Drosophila melanogaster: one gene and its partner. The gene in region 1 interacts genetically with each later gene. Each region holds a gene or a part of one and is shown on either strand. Other genes may lie near its edges.

The links.
Region 2: of crb (region 1) and galla-1, changing one suppresses a phenotype caused by changing the other (phenotypic suppression), as found in Drosophila melanogaster (one study listed by BioGRID).

The regions. Positions count from the first base shown.
Region 1 is NT_033777.3:24,292,300-24,299,022, forward strand, and holds the start of crb (crumbs), read left to right. Parts: upstream 1-2,778; 5' UTR 2,779-3,327; coding exon 3,328-3,565; intron 3,566-6,723. Other genes in the region: Uck (Uridine-cytidine kinase), read left to right, coding at 539-670, 830-945; CG5715 (uncharacterized protein), read right to left, coding at 1,128-1,622, 1,679-2,071.
Region 2 is NT_033778.4:20,668,555-20,675,439, reverse strand, and holds galla-1 (galla-1), read right to left. Parts: upstream 4,237-6,885; 5' UTR 4,057-4,236; coding exon 3,762-4,056; intron 3,695-3,761; coding exon 3,582-3,694; intron 3,322-3,581; coding exon 3,171-3,321; intron 3,101-3,170; coding exon 3,003-3,100; 3' UTR 1,945-3,002; downstream 1-1,944. Other genes in the region: exu (exuperantia), read left to right, coding at 5,090-5,239, 5,309-5,461, 5,545-6,840. UniProt on the Drosophila melanogaster protein: Component of the crb-galla-Xpd (CGX) complex which is essential for proper mitotic chromosome segregation in early embryos. The CGX complex is also required for cell proliferation in developing wing disks.

The sequences.
Region 1 (6,723 bases):
GGTCACATACATTTTAGATGTTTCTATGAATTCTTCTTAAGCAATATTTATATCCTTATAAAAAGTAAGGGCTAATATAAATTAGATATCATTAGTACCGGGCATCTTTGAAGTCGGAACCTGCGACTATAGTGTTATCAAAACGCGCCCCTTTTAAACACCTTTATGCAGTCTCAAATATATACAAATGCAAGGCAGTGATTAGCCTATCAAGGCGTGAAGATAAATCGGTGTTTCATTTAGTAAGTACACAACCAGTTTATTGTAAAGCACACTAACTTCAGTCACAAAACACAGTAGCTTAACAATAACCAGAACATGCCGCCCAGCTTAGATGCGTTTAGGTAATAGATCCCACTAACTAGAGCTAGAATAAGTCCTGGGCTTAGACTAGACCGCTTGGATCGGCGGAGCTCGGGAGGAGCAGCGAGGTAAGTGCATTGTTCCACATTGAGTTGCAATGCTTACGATGGTGCAGCATTACGATTTGATATTTCCAAACTGAGTGCGAACTAATTGTCCGCTCTTTTCCTTTCAGTGGCCATCGATTTGATCGTTCAGCATATCCGGGACTTCTTAAACAATCGATCTCGGCACGGATCAACCGGAAACATGGCTCTCTACATGAATCTGGATTTGAATGCGACGGGTGCCGGTTTCGCGGGCCCAGGTAAGGCCACCATCCAAAAGGCGCGTCCCCACTAACCATCCGCTGACTGGAGTGAATGATCCGGATTACTAACCAATCAACCAACCAATGCATGCAATCGGACACTTGCTGTGCTGTATATATAGTATCTTCTGTTATGCTTTGTGTTTCCCTGTGAAGATGGAAGTAACCTCGGCACGTACAACGCCATCCGAAGATTCTCGACGATCTGCAAGGAGCTCAACATGCAGGGCAACTATTTCTTTGAGACAAATAAGAACCTGCCGTACCACTAGGATGGGATGGCGTGAGAGTTCCCGGAGCAGTACAAGACACGACGCACATAGGCGATTGTTAATTATCTAACCAAATATTGTACCCATAGACATATTTTTTCAGTAAACACAATTGATTGTTGATGATAAATATTTATGTTTGTCAAAATACTGTTACCGAATGCTTCGACTGCAGTTGTCATCTACACCTTGCACTTGTACATTGCGTTGATCTTGCGCACATCTCCGGCTGAGAAGCCCTTGCGTTGACCCATCTGGCTGGCATCGGATGTGGCACGCAGTGCCTTCAACGTGGGCTGGCCATTCCGAGTGAAACTGGTGGGGGAGTAGTGCATCACACTGCCATAGTCGTATTCCACGCCGAAGCCGTACTGTGTCCTGGAACTGGACTTCTCGAAGTTGACCATCATCTCGGGCTTGATGTTGTCCTTCATCACGCGCACATAGGAGTCACGTTCGTGACGATTCTGCTCATGGAAGAAGCCCAGGGCGTGCATCAGCTCGTGAATGGGAGTGCCGTATGTACGCAAGCAGTTGGGCGACTGCAGATTCACTTCCTGGCGACCACCTAAGCGCCCAATGCTACTCCAGCAGCCAGACTTTCCGCTACCAATGGAGATGTAATCCTTTTCGGTGGTCCTGGGCTTGAAGCGCACGCATGTTTTGGTGTGGTATTCCTAAGATACAAAATCTTATTTGTAAATTGTAATAGGGACTATTACTGAAACCTCACCTTAAAAGCGTGGTTAATATTCCCCAATTCCTGGCTGGTAAAAGGACCTTTGATCTCGTAGGGCACAACGCCGCCCGGCCAGCGGGAACTCAGCGCCAAAATGCCATTACGAGTGCCATTGAATCGGGCGTCCCTGTAGCTCAGTGGAATCAGGATGTCACCTTCGTGGTAGGTTCCCAGCTCCTCGGGATTCAGCGGGGATTCCACACCGAGTGCCTCAACCAAAGCTCCAGTCGTCTCCACGTCCGGATTACCGAACAGAGTATCTCCAAGATCTGTCAAGTCAATCATTTCCTGGGAGTCCATATCCTCCAGGGGCATGGAATCTCCCAGAGAAATGCCCAGTATAATCAGTAGCAAAAGCGAACCAGTATTATTTTGCGATTTGCCCATTTTGCTAATTCCCCAACTGCTGTGATTTCTAACCAGGCTTACCCACATTATATAGTCCCACCTAGACCTCCAAAAATTGACGACATGTTGTCGGTGCTGCCTGTTTATGCTGAGTTCTCTTTGAAACGATAAGTCGGCGCTTTGTGGCCGTTTACATTTACATTAAGTACGTAGTTGCTATCCGCCGGCTTCTTGATTTATGGGGAATTTACTTTTATGCATTCCGACTTGAAAATATGTGCAGTGCGGAATTTTCGCAAGTTAAGATTTGCGGTATTATAAAAGGTTTATTCTATTTGGATTATGATGATGTAGGTCACAACTTACAAAACCCATAACTGCCGTTGGTAATTTAAGTGAAGTTTACGTTTTCATGTTCCCGCCATAAATTAAACTTTACTATGCTCGTGTATTTTGGAATGTCACCTAGACATACACACGATATTAATTGATATATTGAATAGTTATATCAGTAAAGTTTTATGAAAATGTAATTAACGGTTTAATTCTTGTGCGAAATCAATTCAAGAACAAAATATTTTTTTTGTACATATTGTACCACTGTGCAACTTGAATATCAGTGTGGCCATGCATGTTGACTCTATATCAAAATCCAGCCAAACCTAGCCAAGCGGACTGGTCACACTGCACCATATATAAGCCCACGAAACGGATATCGCCGATTCAAACGGTCGAACATTTTTCTTGCTGCTCGTACGTACGTTTTATTGGTTGCTCGCGCTCGTAACGTTTTTTTCGCCCCGTTTTGGCCAATGTGTGTGCGCGCGCGTGTGTGTGTGCTGCTTGCAGTTCAAAAGGGCAGCGACAACAACAAGAACAGCGCACCTCTCTTTTAAGCCAAGTCTTCGGCGCTCGTATGTGTGTGTGTGTGTTGGTGTGATTCAGAATCGTGGCCTGGGAAGAAATGGCAAATTAGTTGGCTCAAAGTGGAATCTCTGTGCTCAATATTCAAATTCAGGCTAGAAAGTGTCGCGTGCGAAAGTTTGCAAATAATACAACTAGCAGAAAAAGAGGAATATAACTTAAAAAAAATAAAAATAACCTGTTCTAAGCCAAGTGCCGATTGCGCGCGTGTGTGTGTGTGCGTATGAGTGTTTGCGTGGAGCAGAGAGAAGGGAGAATGCAATTACCAACAACAACAAGCTCAATGAGTATCGTTTGAATAGCAATAATATCTAGCCAAAAGCAACCCTTTCCAATACGAAAACTCGACTTGAGCCAACAAATCAGCGATCATGGCTAAAATCGCCAATGCGTCACTGTCGCAACAACAAAAACAGCGGCAAGCAGAAACAGCAACGACCACAACAACAACAGTGGCGGCATCAGTAGAAACAGCAACAACAACAGCAAGAAGTCGAGACCGCACGAAAAGCGCAGCTCAAATTACGTCGCATTTGCTCAAGCGCGCCATTTCAGTTTATTCGTCGCCTCAATGGATACCGCTCTTCATACTTATTTACTTAGCAACAGGTGAGAGAGAACCCTGAGAGGGAGCTAGCGAGTGAGTGAGAGGGAGGGCGATAGGCAGTCGAGGACATTCAGGAGGAGAGAGCGAAGATGGGGACATGAGAGAGCAACACGGTGTTTACGCGGTTCTTAAGCTACAGTGATCACTCCACAGCACTGAACTTGCCCGTTATAAATTATTAAAATGTATATTAGATGCCCATTTTAAATGGAATTTGTAATGTTGTTATTGTGTTTAAGCCTTTGGCTGCTCATATGATTAATGAGTTAATGAGATTGAGTTACGGAAGTCACACTGTAAATAATTTATATGATGAGCCACATGCATTCTTTAGCTTAAACATTTGCTGATGTTTCAAAAGCTCGTAATCGAAAAAAAAGAGCAACAGGTCATGTGTGTGTGTGGTGGGGCATTCGTGTGTTTTGGGGATGTTGACCAAGTCATGTTGGGTAAAAGGAATTTGGATTTTCAATGATTTCGGGCCTACGAAAAACTCGTTCAACGGGTTTTCCTTCAAGAAGTGACTCATGGAGCTGGCTTACCTGAAGTTTGATTGTGTTAATTATACACTCATTTCTAATTTTTGATGATTGTGTGCTCGGTCTTATCTTGCAAACAAAAGGAATGCTTAGAAATGTATTAGCTTCGATTGCGTATAAATTTATATTTAGTAGAGTACAACTTTAGTCGCTGAGAGAGATAATTAATCAAATTATAGCTTCAAAGGCGGTTAATGTTAGCAATCTTGGCCAAGAAGAATTAATTACTGAAACCAGAAGAGATATTTTAACGTGACCCGCATTTTTTACACACTGTAGCTTACAAATGGATATCATATTTTTAGGTAAATAACAGGGAATCGTAACAAATTATTGTTTCTGCATTTGTTGATACTGGTGCGATTTTTTGGTAATAAAACCTCATTTGTCTGCATTTTCAAAGCGCTTTTAGCGATATCACAACAGTGAAATCTGTGAAACTTATCGCATAACGATCATAATAATTGATTCACAACTCTTGCTGACTCATTATGTGTAATTTTCTGTTACATGTTGTCCGCGGCTCAATTGTTTGGCTGGCTTAGCATTGTCTGCCCCCTTTTTCCAACGGATTGTGCAAAAACGACCTCAAAAATTGGGTCTATTTATTTACAATTCGAGTACCAACCCTCCAAACGGCCAGCCATCCGGCTGTTGTTACGCGCAATCTTATCTTTTGGCCGGAAAGTGAAGTACAACAGTTGCAAAAGCGCGGCCAACTCAACGTCAGCAATACCGCAATTCCGTTGATAGGTTGATAAGAAGAACACTCAGGAGAAGGGAGCACAGATAGAGAAAGAGTTTTCCAACTCGAAGTAGGGAAAGCCCTGGAGTGCAGCGAAAACATAGTAAACCAGTTTATCAGCTCTTGAAGCTAATAGTAAACAAATTTTCAGCTTAATAATTAAAAAAAATCCAAACGAGTGAAAAGCCCTAATAAAGAGCTATAATTCATTCATTTCCATGAACACATTTTCTTTTAATTGTAAAGAACCAACCTCTCTATAGGCCCTGTATTTTCGTATACCTTTTATCGTAGAATTTATCAAATGACTTTGGTTTATGATTGACAAGGAAAACCGACGAATAAAAAGAAGAGAAAATGAATGTCTGGGCTGGGAAATCCCTGAAAGGCATCACAGCAACTGGTTTATGGCAGCTTCCATCGTAAAATCCAGACACCGACAGCGAAGATCATCAGCGTCATCTTCACTTCGAGAGTGGTTTCTGTACGGCTTTCGTTTGAATTTCCGCCCTAAACAGATATAATCCATCATTTTCAGGGGAAAAATCGCGGCACAGGTATACTAGGCACGCTGGAAAAGTGGAGGGAAAACACAAATGAACCGAAACTACCTGCATTGCGTTAACGATAACAACACGTGACCCCGCGAGTTTATGGAAATTCTCTGGCACGTACATAAATGAAAATCGAGAATGGAATGGAAATTGTACGCTGGACACACCCGCGTTCTCCGCTCTCCGGTGTCCGGTGTTTCAACCTGGTCAAGTGTTAAAGTGCAATCGGCCGTGACGCGGGTCGTGGGCCATGTTCCGTGGGCCTACGCAGCCGGCCGCGACCATTGCCTGACGTTGGCCATTAGTGCAAGTCGTTAGCCAGGTCTATAAAAATAGCCAGAGTATAACTGAAAAAGAACTGATTTGCCCCAGTCCTTTAAAGGTTAGGGCGTACTTTACTACCCAGTACTTAGTGGGGAGTGGGGAATTGTGGCGGAAGTGGAATTGAATGCAATACTGAGAATGCAGGGCGCACATTTCAGGACCAATTTTGGTTATAGCCGAAATAATTGGGATGTGGACTCTTGGTATGATTTTGGACTAAGCATAGAAAGTTGTAATTAGGTAACTTTAAGTCGAGACAACTGCTTAGTTCTGTCTAGTTTCTCCTTGCAATGTTCCACGTTTTCTGCGACTGCATCGATTAGCCAGCCACCTTGGGAAATTACCGATGCACAAAAACCACAAATGTGAGAAACAATATGACATAGTGGGGAAAATATTATACTAAACTGAAAAGACAGTGGCAGCTTTCGCTTTTACACGATATTAATTCCAAAAATTTATTCGATGCAAACAAATGTTTAAAAGTTGTGGGCGTTGTTCAATGCTGTCCGTTGGATTGTCTTTATCGCGGTGATCACGTAGTGCCGTTTTATCTGTCGCTATTTGCATACGCAGCGTACTGCCAGCAACAACAAATTCCATTGTTAGCATTGAGTCACACCAACAACGATACCGTGGGCCACAACGCACCAAAATCGAACACAAATTGTTTGGTAATTGAGGTGGGAAATTGGGGAACATACTCTAAGGTTCTGAAGGCAATTAACGGGCTCAGCATGCGTGGTTTTATTATTTATTTCAGACCATATTAATAGCATGTTGTAGTGCTAAACACACAAACTAAAGCTTATATATGAGGTAGCAGCCATTTAATAAATAATAAAATATTTATGGAATTATTACTTCTATAAGTTCATTCTACTCACATCATATGCCCTGTGGAAAGTGTAAAGTCACTTCCTGATATGATTTTGTACATTTTTTCCATAATTACTCACAGCCCTTAATTTATTTTGAAAACCTTACCGCGGTGCAAC
Region 2 (6,885 bases), on another chromosome or scaffold:
TGCAAGGATAGAAGGGGGAGCAGGTGGAGCAGGAGGTCCTGCACCTTTGTTAATTGCTGTTGCAGGCGTCTTCTGGCCAATGAGCTGGCGGAAGCTCAAATGGCACTTGCCGTGCATTTAACATTAGTTCGTTAGCTCCGGCAAATGGCAAATGGTCAACAGCAAAAGGCCCTTTGCCTGCTTGGAACCAAAGGACGGCGACCTCTTGGCCAGAAGTCAGCACAGTATGGCCAACGAAAATGTCAACTTGAGGCCAAGAAAGGACTCAGACAAAGGCTATATGTATATATGTAGTCGGGAATGGGGATAAATGCATGCGCCAGGTGGGGATGTTGGGCCAAAGGGTGAAGTATAACAAAAGAGCTGAAAATTAAAAAGAGACAAGCAATTAAAATGGCTTACAAGCGCGCGAACAAGGGGGTCCCCTCCTGAACTGCACCTACTCCGGCTCAGACGGAGCTCGGAGCTCAGCCGGTGTCCGGATGGCCGAAAGCAGGAGTCATCTCGCCATCATCCCCGCATGACTGTCCCTGCTTCTGCTGATGCGTAAGTTGTCAGTTGCTGAATGGCCAAGTTCCCCACTCTGACACCACTCCCTTTCCCCCCCCCCTTGCTCCAGCAGACATTTGCGGCAGATTCTGGCTGTGGCAAGGCATTCACCGCTGACCAGGACTTTGCATAATGCGCATACGCCCCGTTGGCCCGTGGGCGGTTTTTCGCCATTGAGTGTTACTTCCGGTTTTAAGGAGCTACAGGCCAACACTACCATGGCCCGAACAATTACAACAATTGGTTGTAACAACGCGCGCAGTAAGCCACCTGAAAAATAAAAACAGGAACTGCAATCCGAAGGGAATCGACTACAAAGTACTCATTAGATGCGTTTTAAAGCTTTGGTTTGGAGCTTCCAAAAGAGTTTTTAGTGTTATTTGCCTAGTTTTAATCATACCTAATTCTGCTAAAATGACTTTTAACTTCCTTTAAACCTGCACTACGGTTTTTAATTCATTTCTTCTGACTCCGATTGTGAATTCCAATCTGAACGGAAAAGACGGCATAACCGCACAGGCTGCAGTGGCTGCAATCCAAGGAGCCGGCGGGCATGAAATGCGTATGTGGGACCCATAATGAAATACATGGCATATGCAGAGACCCGGATCGGGCGAACAATGTGTGAATGCAACTCCACAGCCGGTCGTGGCTCCGGCATCCTCATCCTGTGCACTCCGTCCCGGATGCCCGCCGTCACGATGGCAATCATAATAATGGCATACAATTTAACAGCATTGCGTATCGGAAGGAAATCTCGGTGGCCGCAATCTGTGCCCCTCGTCTTCGGGCCACTGTGACTTGGAGTCGGACTCATTGCATTTGCCTACTTATGTACTCGGGGGTTATGTAACCCGGGGGTTGTGGGAGCAGGGGCGTGGCACTGGGCGGGCACTGCAGGACGGGATTAAATGGGTCACTTTGACCGCTGCACAAATGACAATTGCCGGTCAGCAAATCCTGGGGAATTGCTGCAGTTGTTGGCTCGGCTTAAATGCATATGCATTAACAGAATAAATTATGCATTTTTCGCACATAAAATTCTGTCGCAGTCCAGGCCATCATCTCCCATGACTCCTTCCTGGGCCATTGCCGGTGTGTCAACTGAGTCATTATGGCTGTGTCCCAAGTCTCTGTTCACGTGCTCTTCGGTGGTTATTAAAGGTGTCACTCCAGTAGCTCATATTAAATGGATTCTACTCATTATCTATTCCAAGAATTATGATTATCAACTATTATGTATTAATGTAATCAGTTTAAATATTGGTTTTAAAGTGTTTATTTTATACGGATATCCACATAATATAGATTGATAACAAGTAGCAGACCAGTCTGCCTCCAATTACTGTTCACCTGAAAACCGCGTGGTGGAGCTGGGGGGCACAAGCTTCTCCGATGGCTTCGGTCATGGTCAGGCTGGCGACACGGCTGCTGGAAGGCTGGGAGAAGCTAGTGTCTGCCACTCCTATTCCTTTCGGCCGACGTGTCCAGGCCGAGGTCCGCTTTGATTGCAGTCGCCAATTAGCGTAATATTCGCAATATGCTTTTGTCTGCGCATTCATTTTTATTATTTTTCCCTCGCCTTCTGAGGCACGCGGCACGCCTTAGGGGCACGAAGGGTCTGCTCTGGTCCGGTTTCCATTCCGTGAATATTGGCCAGCGGTGTCATGGCAAAAAGTTCGCAGCGCCAGATGGTTTTAATTGCTGGTGGGGATGTTTTTTGCCTAAGTCTTTGGAAATTAGTTTAAAGCATTTTGAGCGCGATGGCAAGCAACTAATTGATATTGCTTAATATTTATGGCTTGCCACTTTGGTGGGGGGAGCAGTAAGAGCGAAATGAGCGGAAGTGCAGTGCAATTTAACAAATGGAAAACCCCGGAAATGCAAATTGGAGCAGAAACAGCGACAGTCATGGCAACAAAGTGCTCACTGAAACCGGAGAGTTGCAAAGAAATTAGCCGAGTCGAGTTGAGTCGAATGTGTGTCATGCACTCAACTTAACAGCGCCAACGGCAGGTGATTACCCTGCGTTACGCCCCAAACATTCTCTACTCTTCTGAAGCTGATAAATCCGTGTGACGTACACGCCGTCTGGCTGGTGCCCAACATGGCCGGCCCATCGATACGATTGCGATTCAGATTCATTCACCCGCCATGACACCGATGTGCACACGGTTTTCTTGGGCCGAATGTCCGACGGCCATATCGCTTCGGCACAATGTAAACAATGAGAGTTGTTGGGCCCGGGGGACCTTATCAGTAAGCAGCATAGGCGGGAAAATAGATAGGACGTTGAGCAATCGATATTCTGGTGGAATCAAAACGGCCGAGCGATTAACAGATTTTAAGGGCTTTAATGCTAAGCACACACTCCCTGATGCAACTTAATGGTACACTTAATCCTAGACATTCCTCAAAGTATTCCCTATGTACAAAAGATATGGCAAAGAGAGCTACTCCTCATCCTTGATGCAGTTCTCGACCAAATCCCTCAGATTGGGGTTCTCCATGGCCGCAGCGATGCGCTCCTTGTCATTGATTTGCTTGTTAACTGGGGAAACGTAATCATTTTTACTTAGAACACATATGTATGATAATAGTATCTGGTTGGTCCAACTTACTCTCTTCCTCGGTTTGATGCGCTCCCTTCTTGATGTATATGTCTAGCTTTATGTTGTGCGGAAGTCCGCGTTCTACTTTCACGCGTATACAGAGTCCAATAAGCGTGGCCAACGAGCAATGTGGCACTGTGGGGTTAAACTCGATGCGAACCTGAAAGAATTAAGAGACAAATACCATGCATTTCAACTTTTTACTACACAAAAGATTTATGAGGTGTGGATTTAGTATAATACAAGTACTTTAAGCTATGAGATCAATTTTAAAGTCATTTTGAAGCTAAATCGTTAATCCTTTCAAATATTAAGCAACAATAGTGATGAAAGCAAATAAACACACGCGCAGATTTAACTTATGATGAAATGATGATTAGGGCTCAAGCTTATGGCTTATAAAGATATTGAGTAACGTACAACTGAGACATTGGAGCGCGTGGGCGGCATCACAAAGATTCCATCCTCGTAGACAACGTTGAGGTCCTCCAAAGTGCACGGCTTCTCGGGATCGCGAATGCCGCGCAACAGATCTGTGTAACGACAAGAGAAATTACATAACTAGGCCAAAGTGAAAAAGAATGCCATTAAATATCGAACCGTAGATGGTTTCCTGCAGTTCCGTCTGATTCTTGTAGCCCAGTTCATGGAGCAGTGCGTCCTCCCCGAAGGCAATGGCCTCATCATCCATCGACATCTGGCTCGTTTTGCGCACTAACTCGTCGGCGTTCTGGCTGCGTCCGCTGATACTGGCGCTGCTGCTGCCCGTACCGCTTTCACTGCTGCCCGTTCCGCCCGCTCTCCCACTATCGCCGCCGCACGACGACGTCACAGTTGCGACCGAACTGACGCCGCTGTCGGATTCGGAGAGCTTGCGCTTTATGTAGGACAGCATGTTGTGGCACCTGTGCGTGGTGTTATCTCGCCTGGTTTTATCTTTACCGTTGTGTGCTTGGGTGATTACAGCAGCATAATTCGGTCGGCAGGCGATCTATTTGCTTGGTAATTCTTCACTTTTGCGGTGCAAATTGTTGGAAATAAGCGATGGCATCAGCTGATTATTGTTTTTCTGCCGACCAGGGCTGCAGAGTAGGTATAAGTGCTAAGCCGTCTTCGATAAGTCTATCGATAGTGATATCGATACCCTGTCATCTCTGGCGCAACCATTTGAAATTCGTCATCCCTGATCCTCTTATCAGTTCTTGTCTGCGCTTTTGTCCAAATATTTGTTGTTTACCCACCAATTTTGCCGGCTAATAATTGGAAAAAAATTTATTTACAAGCTGAAAGACTATATTTTATTATAGCAGCGGTAAAAATATTCTGCAAAAAGTTTTCACCTGCACAGTGGGCGTTGTGGCAAGATGTGGACGAGTTGCAGCTGTCTAACCCATCGTACTTAAGTCAAAAACCTCGATTAGCAGGCTTTGCATATGTCAAATTCGCGCACTTTTCCTAGGCCGTCGGGTGCATCAGGAAATTATTCATTACGTTTTAGTTAGTCGTACGAATTGTTTCTTATTTGTGAAAGCTCGTCGAACAGAAGCAAATTTCGCTTTAACCTTTTGAAAAATAAAGGAAAAAGTTCGTAAAAAGCGAAAGAGCCCATCGAAACCAACACGAAAAAGGAGTTCAATAAAGGTGAGCCCAAAAGAAAAGTGCTAAAGTGTGGTGAAAGTGAACATACATACATACACATAAAAACATCTGTGTAAAAGATGGCGCCACTGGAAGAAAACCGTTAGTTGTAGCTTTGGGTTTAATAGACTCTTGAAAATTCGTAGCCCGTCACTTCATATCGAAAATCTAGTGAAAGCGGTTCGCGTTTTGCAAAGGAAATCGGTTCCTTAAAAAAAAAAAATTCTAGTGACTCAGCTAATTTCGTTATCCGAATTTTCTAGATTGCTTTTCGCAGATCATATAAGAAAATGGTTGCCGATAACATCGATGCCGGAGTGGCCATTGCCGTCGCCGATCAATCCTCGTCGCCCGTGGGCGATAAAGTTGAGCTGCCGGCCGGTAATTATATCCTGGTGGGCGTGGATATCGACACCACTGGACGTCGTCTAATGGATGAGGTAATACCCCCTGACTGCCGTTAGATCGTTCGTCGTTCGGTCCTAACCCCACTTGCGATAAACCCACAGATTGTCCAGCTGGCCGCTTATACACCCACCGACCACTTCGAGCAGTACATCATGCCATATATGAATCTGAATCCAGCTGCTCGCCAGCGTCATCAAGTTCGTGTTATTTCGATTGGCTTTTATCGTATGCTGAAGTCGATGCAGACTTATAAGGTGAGTCCAGTGCAGTCCAGTCCATTTAATAGTGGCAGTCAAGTATTGAAGCATCCACAATTCAACATACAATATCCTCTCAGATCATTAAATCCAAGTCTGAGATCGCTGCCCTCAAGGACTTCCTCAACTGGCTTGAGCAACTGAAGACCAAGGCGGGTCCCAGCTCGGACGGGATTGTGCTTATCTATCATGAAGAGCGCAAGTTCATTCCCTACATGATCCTGGAGTCGTTGAAGAAGTACGGCCTGTTGGAGCGCTTCACCGCGTCGGTGAAGTCGTTTGCAAACAGCATCAATCTGGCCAAGGCTTCCATTGGCGATGCCAACATAAAGAACTACAGTCTGCGAAAGCTTTCCAAGATCTTGTCCACGACCAAGGAGGAAGACGCGGCTTGCTCTGCGTCCACATCTGGATCTGGATCTGGCTTGGGATCTGGATCTAGTATGGTGTCCGATTCGGTATCGATATCCCCCAGGGACAGTACCGTGACCAATGGTGACGATAAGCAATCTAGCAAGAACGCCGTTCAGGGTAAGCGGGAACTGTTTGATGGCAATGCCAGTGTTCGTGCCAAATTGGCCTTTGATGTGGCCCTTCAGCTGAGCAACTCCGACGGCAAGCCGGAACCAAAAAGCTCGGAGGCATTGGAGAATATGTTTAATGCCATACGTCCGTTTGCCAAGTTGGTGGTGTCCGATGTCCTGGAGCTGGATATCCAGATCGAAAATTTGGAGCGTCAAAACTCCTTCCGTCCGGTGTTCCTGAACTACTTCAAGACCACTCTGTACCATCGTGTGCGTGCCGTAAAGTTCCGCATTGTGCTGGCCGAGAATGGGTTCGATTTGAACACGCTAAGTGCCATCTGGGCAGAGAAAAACATCGAGGGCCTGGACATAGCCCTGCAGTCAATTGGCCGGCTAAAGAGCAAGGACAAGGCGGAGCTGCTCGAGCTTCTGGACAGCTATTTCGATCCCAAGAAGACCACGGTGAAGCCGGTTGTCAAGGGTAACAGCAACAATAATAACAATTATCGTCGTCGCAATCGACGCGGCGGCCGCCAATCGGTGAAGGACGCTAGGCCATCCAGCTCCCCATCGGCTAGCACCGAGTTTGGAGCAGGAGGTGACAAGTCGCGCAGCGTTTCCTCGTTGCCCGACTCTACTACCAAGACTCCCTCGCCAAACAAGCCGCGTATGCACCGTAAGCGCAACTCGCGTCAAAGCTTGGGTGCAACCCCCAATGGACTCAAGGTTGCTGCTGAAATATCCTCCTCAGGCGTGTCTGAGCTCAACAATAGCGCTCCACCTGCCGTAACCATAAGCCCAGTCGTGGCACAACCCTCACCGACACCGGTGGCCATCACGGCCTCCAACTAAAATCCAGTTCTGGTGGATCCGTAAAGTAAATATCTTATATTGAGA